Lepisosteus oculatus: one gene and its partner. The protein of the gene in region 1 interacts with the protein of each later gene in a biochemical or structural test. Links are inferred from orthologs where the notes say so. Each region holds a gene or a part of one and is shown in the gene's direction. Other genes may lie near its edges.

What was found.
Region 2: the proteins of dnm2a (region 1) and snx9a form a complex in vitro, tested with the Homo sapiens proteins (2 studies listed by BioGRID and IntAct, with this or other methods). The link is inferred for Lepisosteus oculatus from reciprocal best matches to the Homo sapiens genes DNM2 and SNX9.

The regions. Positions count from the first base shown.
Region 1 is NC_090706.1:19,999,544-20,007,287, reverse strand, and holds the start of dnm2a (dynamin-2), read left to right. Parts: upstream 1-4,678; 5' UTR 4,679-4,857; coding exon 4,858-5,018; intron 5,019-7,744. UniProt on the Homo sapiens protein: Catalyzes the hydrolysis of GTP and utilizes this energy to mediate vesicle scission at plasma membrane during endocytosis and filament remodeling at many actin structures during organization of the actin cytoskeleton.
Region 2 is NC_090697.1:22,099,797-22,107,917, forward strand, and holds the start of snx9a (sorting nexin-9a), read left to right. Parts: upstream 1-4,964; 5' UTR 4,965-5,324; coding exon 5,325-5,336; intron 5,337-8,121. UniProt on the Homo sapiens protein: Involved in endocytosis and intracellular vesicle trafficking, both during interphase and at the end of mitosis. Required for efficient progress through mitosis and cytokinesis. Required for normal formation of the cleavage furrow at the end of mitosis.

The DNA.
Region 1 (7,744 bases):
GAGCTTCTCCTATTAAACATGTCTGGGGCTTGTTAAATTTTGTGCCTTGATAAAAGAATGCTGTAGTCCTTTAAGTCAATATATACAGTCTGTGCTCCAAACAGTGCAGAGCTTAGGCTTTGATATTGAGTTGTAAGGTCTGTCTGAAAACAAACAAGGAATGCCCTCTTACTTAGTTTGTAAGTCAATACCTTGTATTGGTGCCCTTTCAGTCTTTAACATGATATCTACAATACAGCACAGACTGTTTTCCTTTTTCTCCTTTCTTGTTTTTATTTTCCAGTCTTCTGTCTTCCCTCCTTGCTTTGCCACTTTGCTCTTATCAGTGTTCTTACTAAATTTAATTGAAACCAAGACTTACAAAAAAAAATGACAGTTTGAAAGATCAGGGTTGCCAGCCCTGTTCTCAGAACACAGAAAGAGTCATCTGGTTGTCACTCTTAATAATTAAACTGGACCAATATGACATCACTCTCTTGACCTTCATTGGCTCACTGAATATGCCTATAGGGCCTGAAAGACTACAGGTGCCCCTGTCCTGAAGTTGGGGACCACTGTTTTAATTCATTAAATGCCTACTGGTAGCTGAATTTACCCTTCCTTCCAAGCATCTTGAACTCAACCACTAATCTCCCTAATTCAGAAGTTATTCAAAAGATAGATTGCAAGAGTTAAATTACAGTACCTTTATAACAATTTTAGAAACTGGGATTTAGGAAAAGTGTCAAATTGAGAATAAAATCATTAGTTTCATTCAGGGTTATCTGCCAGGGTTAAACAGAGCTTTATTTTATTGAAGAGGGACAGTGCACAGTTCTTAAGCTGCACCACAGTAAGCCTAAAAGCGAATTTACATCTGGAGTCCCTGGTTACAACACAATGAACAAAATACAAGACACAGACATTAAAAAAAAAAACATCTAGAGGCAAATCGGATGATAAATCGATATTACAAATGGTAAGGTGAACCGAAAAATTCCAAAACGATGGCATGTTGAATTAAAAAATTATCAAAGACCGCAAGAGTCACATTAGAAGACAATTAGGAAATGAAACATGACAGCTTAGACTATAAATAAAAAGCGAATAGTCAATGACATGATGATAGTCATTAAAAAAGACATCAGGATATTACAGATTACGTGACTTTCTTGCAAATGAAAAGTAGAAGACAAATCACTGGGCTTCCTATGAAAACATGGAACACTGGTATTCCTTAAGGAATACATATTGAGAATACATATTGTGTGCCTTGCAGCTCTGCATAATACACTAAGTAAGGAATCACCTGGGGACCGCTCAATTTCAGATACATTATGGAGTTGTAACACAGTCTACTTAATGGGTTCAATTAGTTAACTTAGTGAGCAAGGACCAGAAAACCCAGAAAACCCAGCAGACAGGAAAGGAATACTCAACTCTGGTCCTGAAAATCCCAACATCATTCCAGCTCAGTTCTCAGTTATTTTAATTAATTCCTTGATTGAACTGAATTTACTCAATTGTACTTGACACCATTGCCAATTGTTTAAAATGTGCAGTTTTTGTGTTACATTATAAAGTACAATAGTCAAAATGAAATCTCCGACAGTTTATGGCCTGAAACCCATCCCACAGGTCAAATGAATCATTCAAGAAAAAGCTAAAACAATGAAGAGCCTGAGAGAACGCCTGCAGATACCAGGGTACCCAGGACCAGCACTGGGAAGTTCTCCTCTTGGAAGAATTTTGAGCACAAGTGCAATCAAACAAAGGTCAAGGGCACGAGCAGATAGTTATATCTTAAGGCCGCATGGAGACGTCTCTACCAAGAACCTGTGTTTTACAGCACCGAGGGCGATTAGGTCTGGGTAAACAGGCGCTAACACTATCACTCCAAGATTTGCCCGGGCAGGTAGGTGCCTCCTGTTAACATTTGAGCTTGACATGTTTACTGAAGGGGTGGCACAGTGGAACACTGGTTAGCATTGCTGCCTTGCAGTGCAGTGGCCCTGCGTTCAATTCCTGCAGTGCTATCTGTGTGGAGTTTGGATGCTCTCCTCATTTTAGTTTGTGGGGGTTTCTTCAGGGTGCTTCCGATTCCTCCCACAGTCCAAAGACAATCTGATGGGTTAGTTACCTTGTGGGAAAATTGGCCCTGGTGTGCGTGTGTGTGTGTCTGTTTATGATTGTGTGTCAGACCTTCAATTGACTGGTGTCCCATAAAGGGTGTATCCTGCCTAGCTTGTCCGGAGAGTCTCTAGCTCCCCCAGTGCCCGTGACCTTGAAGTTCATAAACTAATTAAAAAAACAGATGGATGGGTGTCTACTGAAGTTTTCCCATGTGTCCCTGAAGGTGATGGCTCACAGTTTCTTTGTTCAGCCTTTTTCTAAAAATGCTAGGATAGATCACAGGGTGTCCTAGGAGGCTGTGCAATGCAGGTGACTCAAGGCAGCTCTGCTGAAAGGTTGAAAGGAGTTCCTGTCTCCCACCATCCTTTGTGTAAAATGTGCCTCCTGCTTTTGTTTATAAAGGCACTACGGTGTTTAAGATTGTCTCAGCAAAAAGAGTTGAGATCAATATTGAAGTAGTTATATACTGGTTTTATGTAGAAAGGGCCTGATATTTAATCTTGGTTTTCAATAAGCATATTTAACCGAAGAGCATCGATCAGATCTGAATTATGAAACAGTTTAAGATGTTTTTTATATATCCCGTTTTCTCATTTATTTTTTGATGTTTCTCGAGTGAGCCATGAATACAAGATTAAATTTACTAAACCCTCTCTGAAGTTTATTCGGTATTGATATTTTACAAAAATTAAAATGATGTCGCGCTACTGGAAATGCGCTTCGCATAATGATTTCCCTTAGTTGTAGTGTAAAGCTGTAGTATGTAATGGTTAAGCGCGCTCTGTTGGCTGGGTTCGTCAGCGTTGTGCACAGTCATACTGAAACTGCCCCACCATGTGGCTCTCAATGAGATAGCTTTGGGAGAAAAAATACAGAGTTAAATATGTGAAATCTACACAAGCTCAAGACCTCCTTTGTTATTTTGGGACCTCGTATGATAAACAGAAAACGTGCCGTTGAAGTTGGAACTGGCAAAAACGTTCAGAGACAGAAACAGTCTCTGAGATCCAAAGACCAAAACCGTTAGAAGTAAGAAAAGTCATGAGAGACTCATTTGGATTATTGCAGTTAATTAAGCAGGGGATGTCTTGGTGTCGTTGATTGACAAAAAGCAAGAGTATTGGCTTCAGCATCCTGGCTGGTAAGATTGTTCTAGGCTCCCACTACTCTTTGTGCATATGAGTGCCACTTTTTCTGTGTTAAAAGCACTTCACCTACAGTAAGTTTCCCTTGGTGTACTCTGGTTCGTGTTTCCCTGTTGATTTTGAAGACTTTTTATAGAATCAACTTCTATAATTTTTTTAAAACTGCTGCAGGGTTTAAAAAAGGTGTTCTCGATAATTTTAGCTGAAACGCTGCTTGTACCCTTAAGCAAGTCGCATCACTCAGGCTACTCCAGCGTCAAACCGAGCAAATTGATAATGACCATGTCATCACAGTAAGCGAGAATTCGTTTTCAAGTGGTTTATCTGGTTAAACTGAAGTGAGGTTGCGTCAAGTGGCCTCTGATAAAAGTTCATCCTTCATTTTCTAAACGTTTTATCGAGCTTGCTGAGAACGACGGACTCTAACCCAGTAAGCAACAGGCGCAATAGCGGATACACCAAAGGGGACGCCAGTCCATCACTGGGCATACACAGATACAGGCTCCCACACCAGTGCAAGTTTTCCCAAACGCCAATTAACCTGTCAGCACGTTTTCGGACTGTGGGAGGAAACCAGAGCACCCAAAGGAAACCCACGTGAACGAAGGAAGAACATATAAACTCAACACAGACAGCAACCCAAGTCAGGAACTGAACTCAGTCAGAGCCCCACTACTAACCACTGCGCAATGCTGCCCCTGTTAAATGTCATTCACCACTATGAGCAAAAACATGTTATGAAAATAATCAAGTATATTGGCTTGCCAGTAATTTAGAAATGACGCAGGTCCGGCGTTCCTCTGGTCGCTTTGACTAAAGGCACATTCTACCTAAAAATATTTTTTTAACAACACAGTTGCTCGGTGGGTTATTTGTTGAAAAGTGTGTATCAGGTACAAAAGAATATAAACTCTTAATTTACAGCTGATGGTCATGGTGAAGGGCTCAATAGATTAAATTAAGTATTAAACGCATCAGTTTTATATTTCCCATCGACGAGTATGTTTTTATAATTTATAAAACAGAAGCGAGGCTTCTAGTGTAAAATAATTAACGAAATATAGCCTCTTATTCTTTCTGGGGCAACAGATCGGTTTAGAAAGGTAAATTTAGAAAATAAATTTAGAAAGGTTGTGTGTAGCTTCTAACGCAAACACTCATCGTACTGAAATCTTGGCTGTATTCCTGGGGTAGAAGAAACAGTCAAAGGCTAAAATGATTGACGTTCCAGATGGCCAATAGCGATGCTTTTTACAACAGCACCGCCCGAAATTTAAGACCACGCCCTTACTTACAAGACGAGGAAATAAACTATCCACCAATCGCCGGCCACTTCGAGAAGACGGGCATGCAAATTCGCCAGTGGTTTTGCTCCTTTTGCTTGACAGGAGGCGTGGTCTCTATCAGCAGCGGAGGTTGGGGTGTCGGCTGACCGGATGAGAGAAGTTTTGTTTCTGTCTGTTGGAGTTCTCCGTGTGTATGTTTGCGCTGCCATTTACGGCTGACTGGTTGAATTATTTTTGATCCCCGTTACCAGAGTTGGTGTGAACATACAGAGCTTTTTTTTTTACCAAATAAGTGAGAACCCGAGTGCGCAGCCATGGGGAACCGGGGGATGGAGGAGCTCATTCCCCTGATTAATAAACTTCAGGACGCTTTCAGTTCCATCGGGCAAAGCTGCAACCTCGACTTGCCGCAGATCGCCGTGGTCGGCGGGCAGAGCGCTGGCAAAAGTTCAGTCCTGGAAAACTTTGTCGGCAGGTAAGCCGTTTTTTAAAAAGCCCGTTTCCATTTCAATTCCAACCAGAATCTGGCGGCTCGGCGGAGCGATTTCCTTGTTTGAAAAAAGGTGTCCGTTTCCCGTTTAGGAGCAAGTGACATTCACAAACAGCGTTTGCGAACCTATCGCCAGGCTGCAGGTGGAAGCGAGGGTATTGCCAGTGAGACAGCGTAAATTACGCTACTGCCGTATCTCGCAGAGTGTGCGGAGCTGTGCGGACTGGGGCTGGGAGGAGAAGAAAGGGTTGTCCGAGGAGTTACGCTGGGGAAAAAGTGCGGAAATCTGTTACACCATGACGTAATTACTAGTGGAAGGACACACAAATACTCGTCCTTCTAAAAGTTTTTTCCCCAGTCATGAGTTATTTTTGTATTATTTTTTTTAAACTAACAAATTTTCTTTTCACCTCAGCCGCCCAGCTGCTCTGTCCCCAGGGGATCCGGATCCCTGATTCTGTCTCCTTTGTTGTCCCGGATACCGGCATTTTAAAATAACCTTTAATATGTAGCAAACACAGAACCGGCACATATGCTAGAAATTAAACTTATAAATGCTAAAATGTTTGCGATTTACCGAGAAGTGACTATCGTAGTTCTGCAATAATGAATGACTTCGAGTTGGACGGCTGTTTTTTTATTTCGAACACTTTCAAAAAGCAAGAATGTTGTCTGTCGAAATACTTGTCGAGTCCGTCAAAATGCTTTTCTTTATTCAAAAGCTATTAACATCAAGGTGTTGTTTTAAAGTCGGCTTTGTTCGTTCGAGTCTCTTATCCCTTACGTTGCTGAAACGGTTTTATAAAATATAAGCTGTCTTTTCCGATACACCCTTCACGTTTTTTATTATTGAAAACAGTAACCCACCTTTACTGTCAGTATGAAATACATTTTGATAAACTTCCTAATTAATTATGGTCATACGCAAAGTATACATATTTTACAATATTCATATTTATAAAATGCCACTATATGAGAACTAGCTGATTGCCAGACGTGTAGACGGTATGATTGCTGATGGCTAAAATAAGCGATTGTAACTATCGAACTGGTAGCTTCAAAGGAAGAAGTAAAGGTAAATTCCACCTCGAAAAATAGAAAAGAGAAACGCAGTTTGGGCTTTTGTGCCTTCTTCAGGTGTGACACCTCTTGTTTTTTTTAGCGTGGAATTAACATTTACTGGTATATCACCAAAGTCAGACACATCTACTCGACCAAATTCTCCTTTATATGTAAAATAGTCGTTTTTAGATTCGGAACTGGTTGCACCAGTTAAAAAAAATGCAGTTGACAGGTTTTTTTTTAACGTGGTCCTGCTACCATTCCAATGGATATTTTCTCCTTGTAGAACCTGTGACACCTGTCGCACCTGTGACAAAAGAGTTTTTGAAGCTTTCTGTTTATCCCTCACCTTGAAATTTGAATTTCCTTCAGGAGTTTCCTTAAGAAAGGCTGCACTACCCTGATCTTGGCTAGTGACCTAAACTCAATTGTTGGTTCATATTTCTTACTGTGAGTTCAAAGCAAATTTTGATGTACAGTATTTAAAAGAAAATCCTAATTGGGCAGCTTCTGCTGTCACAAATTGGCTCCAGTATTTATGTCACAGAGCCTTATTATGTATCAAAAAGAGGTACAGCCAACATTCTTCAGTTTGTGTTTATGTATAACAGTGGACATCCCAACACAACCACGTAATTGTCCTATATAATCGGTCACAGTGAATAAGCAGTGCTTATTTGACCACAACACGGGCTATATCCTACAGAGCTTTAAAAATGTGTTTTTTTTAGCCAAAATTATATTTTTGTCTGATTTCATCTTAACTGTTTCCAAGTGGAGAATGTTGTATATGCATATGTTGTAACTTCTTGGGTGCACCTGCATACTGTTGGACTTCATTTTAGAAAATTGTGGTCAAGGAGTTTTGTTTTGGATGGGAGGAAGGTTAGTAATTAGAGGAGGCTGTTTGACCCATTCCGCCAAATGACGTTTGGTAGTTGGTACTTAATTGATCCCAGGGACGTGGCCAGCCATTTATCCAAAGAAGCCAGAGTATCGGCTTCAACATCATGGCCAGGGAGCTTGTTCCATACTCTCACAACCCTTTGTGTAAAGAGCTCACATTTAAATGCAGTGAGTTTGAATGGACAATGTGGTGTGCCTGTTGCCTGTATTCTGTTTTCAAAAGTCTAGCTAGACAGTGAAATCTCAAAAAATACATCTTGTAAAGGGCTTTATATGTTCAGAAGGGTGTAAGATGAGCTATGGAAATGAGTCCCTGGTCCTAACCTGGGGTGTTTGCATTCTTTGTCTGCAGCTAGAAGTGGACTTGAAGGTTTTGTAAACTGGTGCCTGACTCTAAAATACTGAATATCTGTACCATCCTGTCCTCACAATGTACTGGGATTATGAAGTATGCCTTCTTTATTCTTAAGCAGCCATATCACTCTGCAACACACAACTGGCAACCCACAGAAGCTAATCAGGTGTGAGCCTGGTCAGTACCTGGATGGGAGACCTCCTGGGAAAAACTAAGGTTGCAGCTGGAAGAGGTGTTAGTGGGGCCAGCAGGGGGCGCTCACCCTGCCGTCCATGTGGGTGCTAATCCCCCAGTGTAGTGATGGGGACACTATACTGATAACAGGCGCCGTCCTTCGGATGACGTGTAAAACTGAGGTCCTGACTCTCTGTGGTCATTAAAAATCGCA
Region 2 (8,121 bases), on another chromosome or scaffold:
GTTTGGTTGTGACCCTCCGTCTATCCACCCCTCAGAGAATCCAGAAAAGAAAAAATAACAGCCAAATAGTCTGTCCACGGCTATCCCATTCAACCACAACAGAGTGAAATTCATCTCACTCTCCAAGGTTGGAAACAACTAATTCCTAATCTTAGGAATCAAAGAGTGGCATTTTCTAATTGACAGATTGTCTATTGATGGTCATGGGCAGAGAATTAACAGTCCCAACCAGAGAACATGATTTAAGTTTGTTCAGCTGGTGCTTTTTGCAATATCTTCAGTATAATCCCCAAATCCAGGTTCTATTGGTGTGCAGTGCAGCAGGAGGTGTGGTGTCCCCTTATGTTCTCCTTCTCTTCCCTCTGCAGTTCATAGATACTTAACCATTGAGTTATTAAGAAAAAAAGAATCAAGAATTATTTTAATCAGAGCATTAAGAGTAATATGCATGTATGAAATACAGAATTGTAAACTTTTTAATGTGCTGCAGTCTGTCTGTTGAATTCTTTTCATAGTCTTCAAACAACGTCTGAAAAACCTGATTATTTTGTAAAAAGTTGTTTCCCTCTATTCTTTCAATCCTGTTTTCAGGCTGAAAATACAGCAAATATATTGAAATACAGCTGAAGGTATACTTAAAATGTCTACTTAAGATACTGTACTTAAAATGTATCTTTTATCGTGTTCCAGTTAAATTATTGTGGCAAGCTACTGTATAACTTACCCTTCACTAAGTTATTTCTTTAAAACTTATTTTTTGTCTAAATTAGCTCTTCTGGTATGACGTTGTCAATTGTCATTTACAACTGTAGAAAACATACAGAACGGTACCTTTTTTTATATTCTTGTGGTCCACTAGGTGGAGGTAATGTAATGGAAATTCACAAGTTCTACACAGAAAAAATAAATCTGCAAATCTGCATTAGTTCTAGAACACAGGTATAAACGTTTGAGTTGATGTTTCACCTGAAATACTACAATTTTGAATTCTAAATTCTTAATTAACATTTTGTCTAATTGTTCTTAAATTTTGTTATATTGGTTTACCATTATAAAACTAATTTCCATTTGTTTTTAGCAGTTATTCTTCCTGTTAGAACGACAGAAATCACATCCTTACCTACAACCTGAAACCACCTAAAATGTTCTGTAAAATGTCAGCTGCTATAACTCTGTGTGGAGCTATAACTGTGTGGGAGTCTGGTTAGAAGTGTTACAATTATGGAGTGAATTACATTATCAGAACAATTAAGTAACTGAGACTAGTTGGAACAGAAAACAGAAGATATTCAGTCCTCCAGGAACTGAGTTGGAGACCCCTGTTGGATATGGAGCCTTCCAAAGGAGACAGTTCAGTTTCCTTTGCTGAGAACTCCTTTGAACTGATGTGACTTTCTTGACTCTTTGCTCCTATCTTGGTTATGAACTTTCTTCTTTATATACAAAAATATTTTGTTCAGTAAAATAAACCTATATAGATATATTTTTAAACACTACGCATTACTCACAATTAAAAACAGTCATAGTCTTCTGAACTGATATACTTATCTGTAATTTCTTGATTCATTAAATGTAAACCTTCATGTATTCATGTAATCAAGGTTTATTTATTGTATTATTTAATGATTGCAAGACGGCAACTCGCAGTTAACTTGTTTTTAGTGATATCTGTCAGCATTGGCCATATTAAAGATAGAAAAAGAAGAGAATGATACACTTAGGTACTTTACATATAATCCCTGTTACAGGGCAGTGTCACAGAACGCAAGAGGGGGCAATGTTCTTTATGATATACAGTACCTCTTCTGTTTTTCTGTTCGTACTAGCCATTTGTGATATTAACAAAAGCTGAAGGAGAAGTAAAAAGTAAAATATATATATATATTTCAGCTGCATAACCTCCTTCAAGTGTGTTGGGTAACAAATGTCAGACAAAACATCTGAAAAGTAAATAAGTAAATCACTGAGTGGGGAAGAAGATGTCAACTAAGTTTAAGGATCATTTTACCTTTTGATGTCTTTCTGATACAGCAGACTTTGAATTTCTTTGAAAGCATACAGACTGCAATAGTTCCTCATTTTACCTCTCCTTACCATGATTACACTGACTATTCTGTCAGTGGCCTTTCACCGGGATTCAGAGCTTGGCCCAGGGCTAAGAAATGCAGAAACATTTGCCTTTTAGACCCAACCCTGATTCCAGGCCGAAGGGGCAATTGTGCAAAGACCTTAAGACCATGAGAGACAGAAAAGACAATTTGAAGGTTCAGGGGACAGGGGATGCCAGTGTATCGATTGCAACACCTGCTGTTTTTTGCTCAGGAGTATAGTAAGTCATGTTTAGCTTTGCTTTGTGCTTTGGGCCTTTAAGTGAATTTGCTATCCTTGTGTACTTTGTAACAGTAAAGAAAGCAAATCTGCACTGAACGTGAAAATTAAATTGTGAAATTGCTGTACTGGTTTCACAATTCCCCCTGACCTAAACGTTCTGTTGAAAAAAATTTGGAAAGAACTTGATAGGGAGGTAAAAACTGAAGAGTGCAACTAAAATGCATAAACAGAGAATAGAATAAAAGGGAAAAATATAAAGAAATATATTTTAGAGTTGTTGGAGATTCTTGGTTACCCAAAAGTGGCTTACTCCACGAGGTGGGCTTGTGGCAACTTGGGTCATAGCAGTTAAGGAACCAAAACCTGCCACATGCTTAAACTGGAGCCAGGATGAACCCAGTGCCATGAAGAGTCCGAAGACGCAGGCACTGTGGCCATAGAGCTTTTGTTAAAGGAGTTTGTCTAGCCATCTTGTATGTAGGTCACCTTTCAGCCTTTGCCACTGACAGACCAGCTACTGTATGTGGGTTGGCCTCTTGACTGGTGTTCCCTGAGGGTGTGAGATCAGGCAGCGGGTTCAGGCAGCTTGTGGTTGGTGAGGGTAGCGCCCCAGCTCTTGCTCCTCAGTGCGCAAAGCCTTCCTCTGCACACGATCTCCAGAATAAGGAATCTCCATTCAGATGGTGCTCATCTGGTTGGTTGTACTGTAGTTTTGTGATCCAGTGGGCCAACTTCCCCTTGGGCTCTGTGTGGGAGAGAAGCCAGTGGAGGGTTGAAAGATCCATGCAAAAAGAGAATAGGAGCCTACAAATGTCATGTCACGTCATTTGCCAAACCGCTTTTTACCATATGATGTCATAGGAAGCCGGAGCCTACCTGGCAAGCAACATGTGCAAGGCAGGGTACACCCTGGATGGGGCGCCAGTCAATCACAGGGGAAGTGCAAGCCAATCATACATGTGGACAATTTGGAGACCACGGTAAAGGCAGAGGGCAGAAATCTGGCCCGGACTCCGGGATAACTCCCTACTCTTATTGAGAAATGCCTGGGGATCTTAAATGACCACTGAGAATCAGGACCTCGGTTTAACGTATCATCCAAAAGACGGGCCCGCAAATGTGGTTAATGTAAATTGGGGAATTGGGGAATTATTACTGAATGTGAAGTATACCCTGTCTGCTGAAAAGGTATTTTTCAAATAAATATTATCGGGTTTTGACATTCTCTAAACTTTCTTCCTTTCTACAAAGCTCTCCTGACAGCTGCCTCAATGTCAGCCTAAGAACCATTTGAATAACTGTTTTCTTTGTTGATTTACATGATAAAGACACTTCTAGTGACATTTTAAGCAGGGGTGGCACAGGTAGGATATTTGCACAAGGTAGTGGAGGTCAGCAGCAAAGATCTCAAGATTCTCACTGGGCTGTGACACACAACACTCGGGTAGTGTCTGTAGCACCAGCATGGTCACCACGCTTCCATAGAGATGAACGCATCTAAAGACTTTAAACAGGTTTCGCACTTCTTTTGGCATTTTTTCTTGCCCAGACAAGACTTGGCCTATCTCCAGCATGTTTCTCCGAGCTTCATCCCTGGTGAGAGGTCCTGTCTCCCTCTTGGCCTGCATCAGGAGTCTGCTTTCCATTCGTCTTTTATGCCTTTGCTTAGACAGGTGAGGAGATTTCTCCTATACTGACAATTCCCCAGCAGTGTAGGCTAGTACAGTAGGAGAGCAGGTTCACTAAGACTTATTGTCCTTAAAGATTACAGGTACTGTAACTGTAAACACAAGGGGGTTGGGTGTGGAGAATGAGCGAAGCTTCTGCTAGCAGTGCATGAGGTATAGAGAGAGGCCTCCCCTCCTTATACAGGGTGGGGATAGAGAAGCACGTGAGCTAAAGGTGACGGGTGGAAGGTCAAAGAGACGTTTAACACCAGGCAAATGTTACATTATTATATAAAATAATTTAATATTAGTATGGTTTATGATATCCATATACTATTTTAATTACGTTACAAGCTGTATATTATACGGTTACAATAGTGAAATGGCAGGTCCGCTGCGGTTCCCCCTAATTTAACGCTCTATTTTAAATAACGTTAAAGGAATCAAGGTCCTGTATTTATCAAAACTTGAATTCCTTTTGTTGTCAAAAGGGGATTTCAAGAACGTAAGCTAAGCGCTTGGCAAATACTGAATTTCATCCAAAGGTCCCGAAGCACACATCTAGGAAAGGAGCAACATTTCAATTCGGTGTGCATGACTTGGGGGTAGAAACCAACACGTATCAATTACATAATACATACATTGGGTTAAGGCTAGAAATGCTATGATCAAAATTTAAAACATTTAATACATTTTCTACACCACTTGGTTATAAGCGATAACGATCAATACAATAAATAACTTGATAAAGCTGATGCAATGAGACATATTTTATGGCCCATTTACCTCTACGTAAACCATACAGCAAACCCATATTCATTTTTAAATAAAGACGCATATCTATGTTGATTATGCCTGGTATAAAAAATGTAGTTTAGAAACTACTAGTACTGTATATAGCAGCGATTTCGTAGGACAGCGCCCTCAACTCGTGCAGCGGAGAAACAGTTGAACCGTATCTGCAGGCTGACTTGTCATAAATATCTTGGTGTTGCTTCCAGATCCTTTCCGGTTTTGTTCTCTCAGTATAAGACGCAGGGCTCCACTAACTTCGCGCCGTGCTCGGGATACAGGACTAAACTGAAGCTGAAATCTAGCGAAACTCAGTCCGAAGTGGATTACTTAAACTAGAGTCCTCTAAACTGCCTTTTCCCCTCCTCGGGTCAAAGGGCAGTCTGTATTTAGTGATGTATTAAAATTAGTTCACCAGCACTCCCAAGAAGAACTGCCTTGTTTTCGCTCAGTGGCTGGAAAAGGGAATGGCTGATTGAGGAACCGATAAAGTAACTTTTCAAAAATATTTTAAAATAAATAAATGAAGCAGTAATGGCTTCGAAGGTAAGGTGAATTTTATGCTATTGTTTTTTAAAGTTGCATGCATTTCTTATTCATTTTCTAACTGCCTCGATTATGCAGAAGCAAAAACTGGAGGTACAGTTTCAGCCTGAACTAAAAAAAGGTCTATTCAGCTTAGTTAAAAAACAGTGTTTTTAATCTTAAAGGATGTATTGGTTTTGCAGTCGAACATAAAACACGCAATCGTATGCACCTTTAGCGTAAGAACTCTGTTTAAGCGCCCTGTTTATTCTCCATCGAAATATGTGCAGTATATATCATTAAAAGTGTCTTGTGACATTATTCCACCCTTCCAATGCGGGTCATATCAGACGCAAGTAATGTTGGGATTTGTAGTTTCTGGACACGCGAGGTTATATGTAACGTGAAAAATGCTCAAATAGAAAATTAACCCAGTAAATGAGATTGTATTCTTGTCTCAGTTTGTTTTACTAAGTGGACAAACTGCTTAAAATTGTGACTACAGCATGAGTACTACGTATGAAGATGACGTTGTAATATTTATGTAGCCAAACGTTGTTTTTTAAAAAGTTTTATTATTATACCTGCTTATGGATAAAGGCTATCAATAGAGTACCTACAGTACACAGTTTATACATTATGGCGAGAAAATTTTGACGTGTGACCTTTTAGGCAATATTAAACATCGTTAATAAAAGGGGGAAATGAACAGTAGTACCCAGAAAGTTAAAATGTAAATTTCAACGCAAGGTTTCAATTTAATTTGCAGTGTCAATTATTGGTATGTTCTTGATTAAAAAAAAATCAGACTGGGTGGAATCCTGCTTTTACAGTACGTACTGTATAGCATATGTTTTTTCCCTCCTTGAACATTTGTTTTGTAAAGGTTAGCTATATACAGTATTATTGAGCAGCAACTTGCAATCCAGCAAATAATTTTAATGTAATGACCTGTCCTGTATTTGGAATAATTTTCAAAGCATTTTGCTGTAAAACAAAAAGTGATTTTGATGCCTTCTGAATTAAGTTTTAAAGCATGAATCAATCAAGACACACCAGTTGTGATGGATGGATGCATTTAGCTTGTAAATGTTTTAGCTGAATATTCTTCTACACAAATGTAAAACAACTTAACATCTAATTTCATGGCACTATGTCATTAATGTATTTTACTGTACTCAGCAGTTAAATGCAGAGTCAGCTGCTTGCATTAGTTTTACATCAACCTAAAATGTACTGTAAAATATGTAAAAAACTATTAAAAATTATTAAATGTTAATATAACTAATACTATTATAGTATTATATAGTTGGCAATTCTTTCTCAGTGGTTTAGTCAATATAAAATATCAAATAGAGTTTGTCTGCATTGGTCCACATGTTCATCTTGTTGCTGTAATTTAAATACATAAAGACACTTTGAAATAGATATAAGGAAATAATTCAGGACAGATCCAGTAATTCTAAGATAGATTGAAAAAAATTGGATGCCACTGCAGCCCCCTGTATACCTGTATACCTGGGGCGATATGGATTACTTAAGAGGAAGAAAGTTTTACCTACTGTTCATGCTCCAATGTAAGCCACAGTGCACATTTGCAGAGTGTTCATGTCATTTTTACATATTCAAGTACAAGTTTAGAATTATAAAATAATTTGAAAATGTCAGCATTTTAATTTCATTTTTGCTACCTTTTTTAAATAGCCCTAGATTCCTTTGCTTCAGAAGTGTTTCTTTTGAACAGTGTGCAAAGTTTAGGCTTTGGATGTTTCACCAAACTTGTATATCAACACCATGTGATTCTGCTAAACAGAAATAATTGAAATCATGCATGAAGGTGTTTTGCTGTTTCTGGGTATCCTGCAAATGCAGTTCTTATCTATAAATATTTATACAAATATTTGCACTATTTTATTTCCAGTGTTTTTTTCTGCTCAGTGGTGATTCACGCTAATGTATTTTATTAAATTCTTTAAGGCTGAAGACATACAGTAGTATGCATGGTAAACCACTATCCAAAGAAATTAATATACTCTTAGTGTTTTATCCGAGAAATATTGTCTTATAGTAAAACATAATTAATTGAATGTTACAACAAATAATTTATCCAGATTCATAAGGCTATATCACTTATATATCACTGATTTTGTTTATTTTCCTTATATAACAAAATTATACAATGGTTAAGCTTTAATAAAATTATTTTTCTTTCAATTAGTATTTCACAGGCTGAGAAAGAATTTCTGAAATGAAATGGCATATCATATCTGTTTTGTAAGGATTGTATTGGTGACATAATGTTTTAAGAGACAGGTGCTGTTTGTGTAGTACTTTAAAACTAATTATTATTGATGTGTAATAATTACCAGTGAAATTATGTTGTCTGTGTAATTGTAACTTGTAATTGTAATGTAATGTAATTTGTTGTTATGGCTTGCAAAGCCCCTATGTCACGTAATCTCATACAGAAAGGAATTTTTGGGAAAAGAAACTGAGATCCAGGTCAATTCGTATACTATAAGTGTTTGGTGCTGAACATTTAAAACCTCTGACTGATGATTTGGATATTGTGTTATATAGTACCAATTAGGATATGTATCACAATATATATATACACACACACCACAATCACCCTTCAAAAATCACTACCTGACCATGCCTCAGAATATTTTTCATGGTATGAGGAATTGTTCTGTATTGTTTACATTTGCTGGGTGTATCTCAAAGTGAAGGTATCTGGTTGAGTCCACAATCTGAAAAAGGAATATTAAAAGCACAAGCACTTTTCTGTAGTGAGGTAGATGTT